Linked DNA regions of Kluyveromyces lactis. The protein of the gene in region 3 interacts with the protein of the main gene of each other region in a pairwise test. Links are inferred from orthologs where the notes say so. Each region holds a gene or a part of one and is shown on either strand. Other genes may lie near its edges.

Evidence for each region.
Region 1: the proteins of CYC8 (region 3) and HOS2 interact in binary tests that used the Saccharomyces cerevisiae proteins (3 or more experiments, as listed by UniProt). The link is inferred for Kluyveromyces lactis from reciprocal best matches to the Saccharomyces cerevisiae genes CYC8 and HOS2.
Region 2: the proteins of CYC8 (region 3) and RPD3 interact in binary tests that used the Saccharomyces cerevisiae proteins (3 or more experiments, as listed by UniProt). The link is inferred for Kluyveromyces lactis from reciprocal best matches to the Saccharomyces cerevisiae genes CYC8 and RPD3.

The regions. Positions count from the first base shown.
Region 1 is NC_006042.1:847,107-850,461, forward strand, and holds HOS2 (histone deacetylase HOS2), read left to right. Parts: upstream 1-1,360; coding exon 1,361-2,719; downstream 2,720-3,355. Other genes in the region: IME4 (mRNA (N6-adenosine)-methyltransferase), read right to left, coding at 1-639; KLLA0_F09141g (type I glyceraldehyde-3-phosphate dehydrogenase), read right to left, coding at 3,182-3,355.
Region 2 is NC_006041.1:185,619-188,785, forward strand, and holds RPD3 (histone deacetylase RPD3), read right to left. Parts: upstream 1,858-3,167; coding exon 559-1,857; downstream 1-558. Other genes in the region: lumazine synthase RIB4, read right to left, coding at 1-73; PEX6 (AAA family ATPase peroxin 6), read right to left, coding at 2,196-3,167. UniProt on the Saccharomyces cerevisiae protein: Catalytic component of the RPD3 histone deacetylase (HDAC) complexes RPD3C(L) and RPD3C(S) responsible for the deacetylation of lysine residues on the N-terminal part of the core histones (H2A, H2B, H3 and H4).
Region 3 is NC_006038.1:813,113-816,876, reverse strand, and holds the start of CYC8 (transcription regulator CYC8), read right to left. Parts: upstream 2,575-3,764; coding exon 1-2,574. UniProt on the Saccharomyces cerevisiae protein: Acts as a component of the CYC8-TUP1 corepressor complex which is involved in the repression of many genes in a wide variety of physiological processes including heme-regulated and catabolite repressed genes.

The DNA.
Region 1 (3,355 bases), on a different chromosome or scaffold from region 3:
TTTGTTGTTAACAGTATTGATGACGGTGGATAGTAGTGACACATGTTTCGGATCTGAGCATATTGGTATGAAAGGTGATCGCTTAGTGTTTAATTTTGCCTGTTCTTTAGATAACTTAGTGGATCCGAGTTCTAACGAGAGGATTTGATTTAAGTGTCTTAGACACTTAGCATTAGGGGTTACAATTTCACTCTGGTCCAAAATGCCCATCAACTTATTTAATAATATGGGTTCGCTTTCAATTTTTCTTTCTTTAACCTGAACAGAATCTTTATCGATCGCAATCTGCTTGGCTTTATTGCCAGTATGTGATAATGACAATTTAATAGCTTGGTCATAATGAACTTTTTGCAATATTTTCAAGGAGTCCCCATCAACAAATGAAATCTTTTGGCCAAAAATATTCCCGCCACTATCATCTTCAAAATTCATGCAACCACCACATACTTCTGAAATTTTATTCAAATCTTCACAAAACTGGTAATACGTCTCACCACATTCGTTATTCTTCCATAGGAAATTTTGCATGAACATGGAATAAATGACATAAATGTCGTGTAAGCTACCATTGATCGGGGATGCAGTGATGGACGCATAGTTGTCCAACATAAAATCAACTAACCCCCAATTCAAAGACATAATACCAGTTTCACTCCTTTCACTGCTCGGACAATTTCTTTCGAGACGCAGCTATATTCAGTTTCGTTTCACCTTGTTACTCCACTCAATAAAAAAACAACCGCCGACGTCAATATCTCTGGCTCCAGACAAGATATAACAAATCCGTATATTTTTTTCGATCACCACAACTTTCACAAACTTTCTGTGCCTACAATGTCATGAAACTATATATAAATTGCCGGCTTTTCCTCTCAGTTCCATCCACGTTTAACAATGGTTCTGTCTTAAAAAGATGGTGTATTTCGTGATGAAGCTGGGATTTTTTATTTTCAAATCCGAGTTTGATCTAGGTAGGAATTCGTTGTGAACAGGGGAATACACAGGCTCCAAACTGGCAGGAAAGTGAAGGGCTTTACCAGTGTATTATACGTGAATCTGCAACGATGCTGATCTCTCTTTAGAATTGTGGGGTACATCCTTCATCTTGATACGTTGTTATCACGTGATTGGTTCATGTGATGTACGGAGTTTATGGTTCTGATCCACTTGGAATAAAAAAACATGGAATTTGAAAATACAGTAATAACAGAACAACACATAAATAAAGTACGGAAAGGTCGAATAGACAATCGACCGAGCCAATACCCAACTCTTTGCAGATTGTAGCTACCAAGTATCAATTCTGGCTGAGTGGCAGTTATTCATTACGGGTAAGTGGTAGCGGAATCCTTTTCATAAGATGTCATCGGATACACTTAAATTTGATGAGAAAACGGAAGCTGAGAAGCCATTGTTTGATTGTGATTTTGGGACTTCCTATAGTCCCAGAGTCTCGTACCACTTCAATTCGAAGGTATCACAATATCATTACGGTGTCAAGCATCCAATGAAACCTTTTAGGCTTATGCTTACCGACCATTTGGTTTCGGCATACGGGTTACACAAAGTGATGGACTTATATGAGACGAGGTCAGCAACAAAGGATGAGTTAACAAAATTTCATTCTGAGGACTATGTCAATTTCTTAGCGAAGGTAACACCAGATACATTGAATAAACTTCCTCGAGGGTCACTCGAGAAATTCAACATTGGTGACGATTGTCCTATCTTCCAAGGAATGTTTGATTATGCTGCCTTATATGCTGGGGCATCGTTAGATGCTTCTAGAAAGCTACTTAATGGTCAGAGTGAAATAGCTATCAATTGGTCTGGTGGTCTACATCATGCGAAAAAGAACAATCCATCTGGTTTCTGTTACGTTAACGATATCGTGTTAGCCATAGTAAATCTACTGCGGTATCACCCGAGAGTGTTATACATCGATATAGATTTGCACCATGGTGACGGTGTACAGGAAGCGTTTTACACTACTGACCGTGTGTTCACTGTTTCATTCCATAAGTATAACGGCGAATTCTTTCCAGGTACAGGTGATTTGGATGAGATAGGTTGCTCCAGAGGTAAGCATTTTGCATTGAACGTTCCGTTACAAGATGGGATCGAAGACGACTCATACATTAATTTATTCAAAAGCATTATTGATCCCGTAATAACATCTTTTCGGCCCAGTGTAATTATTCAGCAATGTGGTGCCGACTCCCTTGGCCACGATAGACTTGGCTGTTTTAACTTAAATATCAAGGCTCATGGTGAATGTGTACGGTTTGTCAAGTCGTTTGGAGTACCAATGCTTGTGGTTGGAGGTGGTGGTTATACACCAAGAAATGTTTCAAGATTGTGGACGTATGAAACAGGATTATTAAATGGGGTATTGCTACAACCTAAACTTCCAGAAGGTATTCCATTTAGAGATTGGTTTGGCCCAGATTATTCATTACATCCAACACTAGATGACTTGTATGAAAACAAAAATTCCAAGAAATTTCTTGAAAATATACGGATTAGATGTTTGGAGAACATCAAATACTTACAGGGTGCCCCAAGTGTTCGTATGGATGCAGAACTCATCCCAACACAGGACATCACTGGCCTAACTGAAGAAGAAGAGGAACTGATAAAAGAGTTAAATGTCGAAGAGGACAAGGCTAGGTTGGCACAAATGGAGAAGGATGACTTTAAAGTGGGCGAACTATACTAAAATATCACGTGCGGAAATCTGATATATTTGTTTTTTTTTCTTTCTTTTGGTTACGCTTTGTAAATAGATATCCTATATGGAGTTGTTAGAATACTACTAAATTAACACTATTAAGGTAAAATTATGAGCACGAAGAAAGTGCCTTCGAGGTTAAATAAATACATTATTACCAATTAATATTAAGATCGTATACTTCATTATGCTTACATGGTATGGGTTTTTATTTAACTTGTCTATATGTGTTAAGAAATTTTCTGAAGATATCCTTTAGTAAATAGAATATCTTTAAATTGCTGTGAATATTAAATAATAATGGCGGATGGAGGTACAAAAGGTATTGTTTTGAAGTACCATCATAATTTTGTAAATTGTCGAAAACTTTTGAGAATAGTCTTCATCAAACGAAGAGTACTTTTTTGTCAGTCTACTGGGATTTTGAAATCAAACAAAAAAAGCGTCTCCTTAAACACCAGCTTCGAAGTCCTTTTGAGCCATGAAAATGGATAAATCAACCACTCTTGAAGAGTAACCATATTCATTATCATACCAAGAAAGGACCTTGAAAAAATGGTCGTTCAATTCAATACCGGCCTTGGCATCAACAATAGATGAACGTGAATCGGATGTGAAGTCAGA
Region 2 (3,167 bases), on a different chromosome or scaffold from region 3:
CGTAAACGATACCAATTCTCAAGTTAGAACCATCATAAACTTGATCCAATTGACCCAAACCTTTAACAGCCATTGCAAAATTTACTAACTGTGATTTGAATGTTTAGATACAACGTATCTACTATCAGATAATATATATCTCTATATGAAATAGGATAAGCTTTATTCTTGTGTAATCGACCTATCTGATCTTAACTTTTAAATATCCATTCGCTTCTGGATTTTCATTTTTTGATCTTTTTCATATATAGATTTGTTACTGACAACCGAAGTGCAGATGTAAGTCATATCTGAACTGGAATAGTATTACGTGGAAAATTATGGCAAATACCGATACTGACGGAGGGAAAACACGATAGAAAATTGACCTCATTAGATCAATTCTAACTTGGGCACCAATCTGTATATTCAGCATCATATTAACCGTCGGATGAATGACATATAACAGTGATTAGGTGAGTGACGATAAAACCTGTAGCAAATGCGGAAGAGTACTTCTAAGTGTAAATATATTATAATACAGTAAATAATAAAAGATCATCTGTTTTTGTTTTCTGGCTAAAATTCGGTTGCATTCTCAATGGTTATGTCTCTTGCATACTGAGAACCTCCTCTAGTGTCCTTCGCAGCTGCAGTATCTTCTTCGGCGTCACCTTTGTCCTCCGCATCGCGAGGAACGTGATTGAGTTGAACGCTTGGGGCATATTTAGTATGCTCTAGATTGCTGAAAATATTAAGTAGCACTTTATCCAAATACTCCGGTGTATTGACGTTATACATATTAGATGGTCTGACATCCAATTTGTAATCAGGGCCATAATATTCGTAGTAATCGTTGTAAGGAAGTTCTTCATCCAAAATCACATTATTCAGAATACCCGTTTCGAAAGCCCATGTACGAGCCACGTTTCGCATTGTATAACCACCACCACCAACAATCATGAGAGGAACACCGAACGATTTCATGTAGTTGACACAGTTTGCGTGACCCTTCATTGAAAGGTTGAAACAACCTAAACGATCGCCGGATAAAGAGTCACCACCGCATTGGAGTACCACGGCAGAAGGTTGGTACCATTCCATAATTTTACCTATGACTGGTTCAAATACCGATTTGTAAGTGGCATCGTCAATACCGTCCCTTAATGGGACATTCACAGCATAGTATTTACCTTTCCCGACACCAGTATCTCTCAATTCACCAGTACCTGGGAAGAATTCCCCATATTTATGGAAAGAACATGTCATAACTCGATCCGTAGTATAAAAAGCTTCTTCTACACCATCACCGTGATGCACATCAATATCAATATAAAGAACACGAGGATGGTACCTTAACAACTCGATGATACCTAGCACTATATCGTTCAAGTAACAGAACCCTGAAGCTTCCGATTTTTTGGCATGATGTAAACCACCAGCATAGTTAATGGCAACATCACATTTGCCTCGGTTTAATCTGGCTGCACCCTCCATAGAACCACCTCCAGATATACTACAGTACTCGTACAAACCATCAAACACAGGACAATCGTCTCCAACGTTGAATTTCACACTCTCCTTTTGGAACATATCTAAATTATCTGGAGTGACTCGAGACAAGAAATCAATATATTCATCGGTATGGAACTGACACATCTCCTGTTTCGTTGCAGGTTTAGCCCTGTAAATTTCCATCTTCTTATACAAACCGTAATTCATAATCAACGAATGTGTCATTCTTATTCTATGTGGTTTCATAGGATGTCCTGCACCATAAGCATAGTTTCCCACATCAGCATCATAAAAGTATGCAACTCGCTTCTTCTCGTTAGCCTTCACCGTTATCGGGTCAAAAGGTTTAGCTTCGTATACCATACCGTCCACGCACAATTAATCTTAATAGTTTCGCTAAGTTGGAGAGCCGGTACAAATTTTTCACCTCTTGTTTATATAGCTTTCTTGGTATGTTTTCGACATAAATCAAGGTTTTAATAGAAATCACTACCTTCATTTTTCACCGTCTCCATCAATATAGAATTTCCAAGCAGCTAAAGAAAGAAGAAAAGCCTTAAAGAGATCTGTCATGTTACACGAGTTGAAGAAGATTAAGAAGTAGACCAACTTTTTACTGACCAGATCATCCTGCATGGATGAGTTAATATATTTGTTATATATGATTTATAATAATATTCGATATGATTACTTATTAACGATCATTGAGATTCGAAACTACTCTTTAATCTCAAGTAATGTCTTAATTCATCCTCAGAAACACTTGGTATTAGATTCTGTTGAGCAAGCTCGAAGTCTTGTAATTTTACCACGACCTTCAAGTCATTCTCGTTTGCCACGTTATCAAACCAATACCTCAATGATATATTCTTTTTATTTTCCATGTTATACTTCTCCCACTTTTCATCAACTTCACCAGCAACTCTAGTCATAGCGTTTAAAAGGGCATCAGAACACAATGCGTAGAAATCTGCACCTGTATAGTTGAACGGACATTTTTTGGCAATATCTAGTATATCGATACCAGATTCTAGTGTGAACTTTCTCGTCAAAGCCTTGATGATATTTGCCTGTTTTTTATCGGTATCTGATATCCCCAAATATAACATCTTGTCAAACCTACCGGGACGTAATAATGCTTCATCAAGAAGATCTGGCCTATTCGTAGCTCCAATTACGAACACTCCGTCTCCTCCTGAACTCATTCCGTCTAGTTCTGCCAAAAGTTGAGACACAATACGATCCATAACACCCCCAGAATCTCCCTGATTTCCTCTCTTTGGTGCCACGGAATCAAGTTCATCGAAAAAAATGACACATGGCTTAGCATCTCTTGCTTTCTGGAAGACACGTCTAACATTTGCCTCGGATTCACCAATGTACATGTTAAGAAGTTCAGGCCCTTTAACACTGAAAAAATTTAAAGAGAAGTTAGACGCAATTGCCTTCGCTAACAAGGTTTTACCAGTCCCAGGAGGTCCATAGAAAAGAATACCACTTCTCTTTTTCATACCAGATGAAAATAGTTCAGGGTGCTTGAGTGGCATATCTATGGTATCCATGATTTCTCCTTTGACCACATCCATCCCACCAATATCATCCCAAGTCACGTTAGGAATTTTAGGAGCTCCGATAGAGTCTGAGAATCTATCTCTTGCAATATTTATGACTGC
Region 3 (3,764 bases):
CTTTTGTTGACTGTCAGAGAAGCCATCTTTGAGTAGGTTATTTGCAGCAGGAGTGTCAATGGCGTGTTGCTCCGTTATCTCAGGTTTAGCTACTGCAGGTTCTGCTCCATTATGATTCTCGGTGGCACTTGTGTTTTCAACAACGTTAGCTTCTGAGGTTGGTGCTTCAGGTTCACCAGCAGGTGCCTGAGATTCTTGTGGTTGCTGTCCCTCAGCCTCAGTAACTTGTACAGACTCTTGCTTTCCTTCTGCTGGTACGATGGTAGTTGTGTCAGCATTTTGCGTAGCTGGTGCAATGGTGCTGTTTGTATCGTTGACGATGCCAAGGTTGTTATCATTAGGTTCGACTTTTGGCTCGGAAGGTGTACTATGTACGGTGTTCGTAACTTGGGGTGTCGTGACTTGTGGTGCTGTCGTTTGCTGCTGTTCCGCCTCCTTTTGCTTCTGTTGCTCCTGCTCTTGTTGTGAGATAGCGTTGAACAATGTATCCATTCCCCCCTCCAAAGGTCTCTTTTGAGGAATGGTTTGTTGCACTTGGGGTGGCGGAGGGATTTGTTGAGCTTGTGTGACCTGGGAGGCTTGTGTGGTATTTTGAAGCGATTGTTCCTGTCCATTTTGGTATCCTTGCTGTCCTTGCTGCCCTTGCTGTCCTTGCTGTCCTTGTTGCACCTGCTGGGTTTGTGGTGGTGGTAGTTGTTGTTGAGTTTGCAGGGATTGCTGATATTGTTGTGGATGTTCGTGGTCTTGTTGTTGCTGTTGATGCAGTAGCTGCACAACTTGTGGATGCTGCTGATCAACTCTTTGAAGAACCGGTGGCATATTAGTGTGCTGAATAGGTTGCTGTTGTTGGAACTGTTGGACAGCATATTGTTGCTCCTGGCCATTTTGTTGCTTGTCATTCAGAGGATTGAACATTTGTGTGTTGTTTTGCAGCATTGGTTGTAACATCACTGGTTGTTGTGGCTGTTGGTTTGGTTGTTGGGGTTGCTGTAATTGAGATGGTAAAGGAAGAGCAGGCTGCTGATTGTATTCAATCTTCTGTTGTTGCTGCTGTTGCTGTTGCTGTTGCTGTTGCTGTTGTTGCTGTTGTTGCTGTTGTTGCTGTTGCTGTTGTTGCTGTTGTTGCTGTTCGCCCGATTGGTGTTGATTCATTATTTGAGCAGTGAGGGCGTCTAACCTTTCCCTAATATGAACGTTGTTAGGGTCCAACCTTGCAGCCTGTTTGTATGCATCCAATGCATCATTGACCTGATTGTTGCAAGTTTCATATAGAGTACCTAAATCGTACCACACTTCACTGATATAAGGATTCAATCTGATTGCTCTGGTGTAAGCGTCTAGGGCGTCACGATATTGAGCAATCTGGTAGTATAATACACCTATGGAACACCAGAATGTTGGGTTTCTTGAGTCGCGGTTAACGGCTTGTTGGAAGGCATCATATGCAGAGGTGTAATCATTTCTGATCATATGAATTCTACCCAAATGGTACCACGAAGTAGCATCAGTAGAATCGATTTCCAAAGATTTGAGAAGTAAATTTAGAGCCTTCTGTGGGTCATAAAATGATACATTATTCATACCGTATAGGCAACCGAGCTGTTGTAAGACTTTTGCATGGCGGTCGTTCTGTGATATGATATGTTCATACGCGTCCCTAGCTCCCTGCCATTCACCCATTGACTCTAAAACACTACCCAATTGGAACCAGACATCCCATTCTTGTAACGGAGCAGGAGGTTGAGGCAGGATATAACGGAAGCATTCCAAGGCTTGATTCCATTTCCCCTGATGTTTGTAAATGATACCCAACCTGAAATAAATTTCATTTGCCTTTTCGAATTGTGGGTCAAGTTCCAAAACCTTGGCAAATGCTTCCTCTGCGTAATCCAAAGATCCATAACGGTCGTATAGAATACCTATTCCATGCCATAGTTTCGGTATGTTTGGGTTTGATAGATGATAAAGGGCTTGTTGATAAGCTGCATATGCGTTTTGTAATTCATCAAGCATTAGATAACAATGGCCAAGAGTAGCCCATATATCGCCCAGCTCTGGGTTCGCAGAAAGAGCTCTTTGGTAAAGCTCTGCAGCTCTTTGGAACATATCACGAGACCTATATAGATGAGCTAACGATGTCAATGCGTTTGTCGACGATGGGTTATGTTGTAAAGTCGCATCATATGCCATTGCAGCCAGATCAGCATCGCCCAAAGTCTCTGCCAGAGATGCAATGGACAGCCAGGTCTCTGCTGTGGACTGAGACAACGGATCTAGAGGCTTCAAAGGCTGTTTAACCGGCAACAAATCCTGAGGACGTACCTCTATCGGCAACTGACTTTGTCCTGGTACCTGTTCATTGCCATATTCTGACGCTTGGCCTGGTTGTTGCATTGCTAATTGAGAAGCAGCAACCGCACCATTCATGGTATGTGGTAACCCTTGCAACATGCCCTGCTGATGTTGGTGTCCCAATAATCCATGTTGCTGTTGCTGCTGTTGCTGTTGTTGTTGTTGCTGTTGCTGTTGTTGTAACGAGACTGCCATTGCTGGACCTGAAATTGCGTTCAGCATATATCAAACGCCAATTCTGTTTCGTTTCCTACCTATTCGATACAATCCAAACCTGGATATCCAATCTGTTTATATTTTGCACACAAAGAAAAAAAATTATAAGTAGAAAAATAGTATAGTACAAGCGTGTGAGAGTGTATTCGTGCTATTTCCCAGGCTATAAGTCTGAATATTTCTTGCTTTTAGTAGACCAAAATACAAACCCTTTACGTCACACTTAAAAAATAACCTGGCTCTCGCTATTATCACTGAGCTAAAGTACGATCAATCGTTCCAGGTTTATAACCTACTATCAAAATACAGAACCAATAATTCTCGCAGATCTTCGTTACCTATTTGTGTCCTTCTCTCCAAAAAAAACAACAAAGATGTTGACAATCAAACTTAAGTATCGTGTTAGTAGAATTCTAAACATTTATTTATTTCAATTTTTTTTTTTCTGTTTCTTCAAAACCAATGCAAACGTTTATTTGTTATTTTTAATTTTTTTTTTTTTTTTTTCAACGGAATCTGCGGGCGTTTTTAGCGGAATCTCTCAGTAATGTCGACATTTTGGCAAACCGTCAGTTTTATGTCAAGATGCTGTATCTATTTAGTACTATGTCTACCCTATATCTAATTACTCTTGTGTATGAACGTCTCCATTGAGTCTACTTGTACAGGTAGGTCTGTGGAGTAGCTCTTTATTTTATCTCCTGGCATATAGAATCTTCTCTCTGACAACCTGCATCATGGAAGAAACGATAAAATATCACAGGATTCTTGCCTTCTTCTATTACGAATCAAAAACTCGAGGGGTGATAATACGAAGTGGAGGGAGGCGATGAATTCACCCTGACCGGGGAAAAAAAAACTGATGTCTGTGTTCGTGTTATCTGCTGCAAACACTTCTCTGTTGGATTTTCAGTGGAACAGAGGCAGGTAAAGTATGCAAAGCATTGGCGCTCGCACCACCATGTTAATCAGGCTTACTTCATCATTGCTTTTTCTTTTTTTCTACTGTTTCCTTTCTTTCTCTCAGCTGTAAGTTTCTGTGTGTGAATGTTCGTTTCTATCTTTTTTTTTTCCCTCGAGTGCTTAAGAATTGCCTTGGGGCTAATTCTAATGATATTACGGTATGCGATTTGCCAGATTCAGCAAATATGCGAGTCGTACGTTGCTTCTGGGACGAGTTTGTGATGATGGCTTGA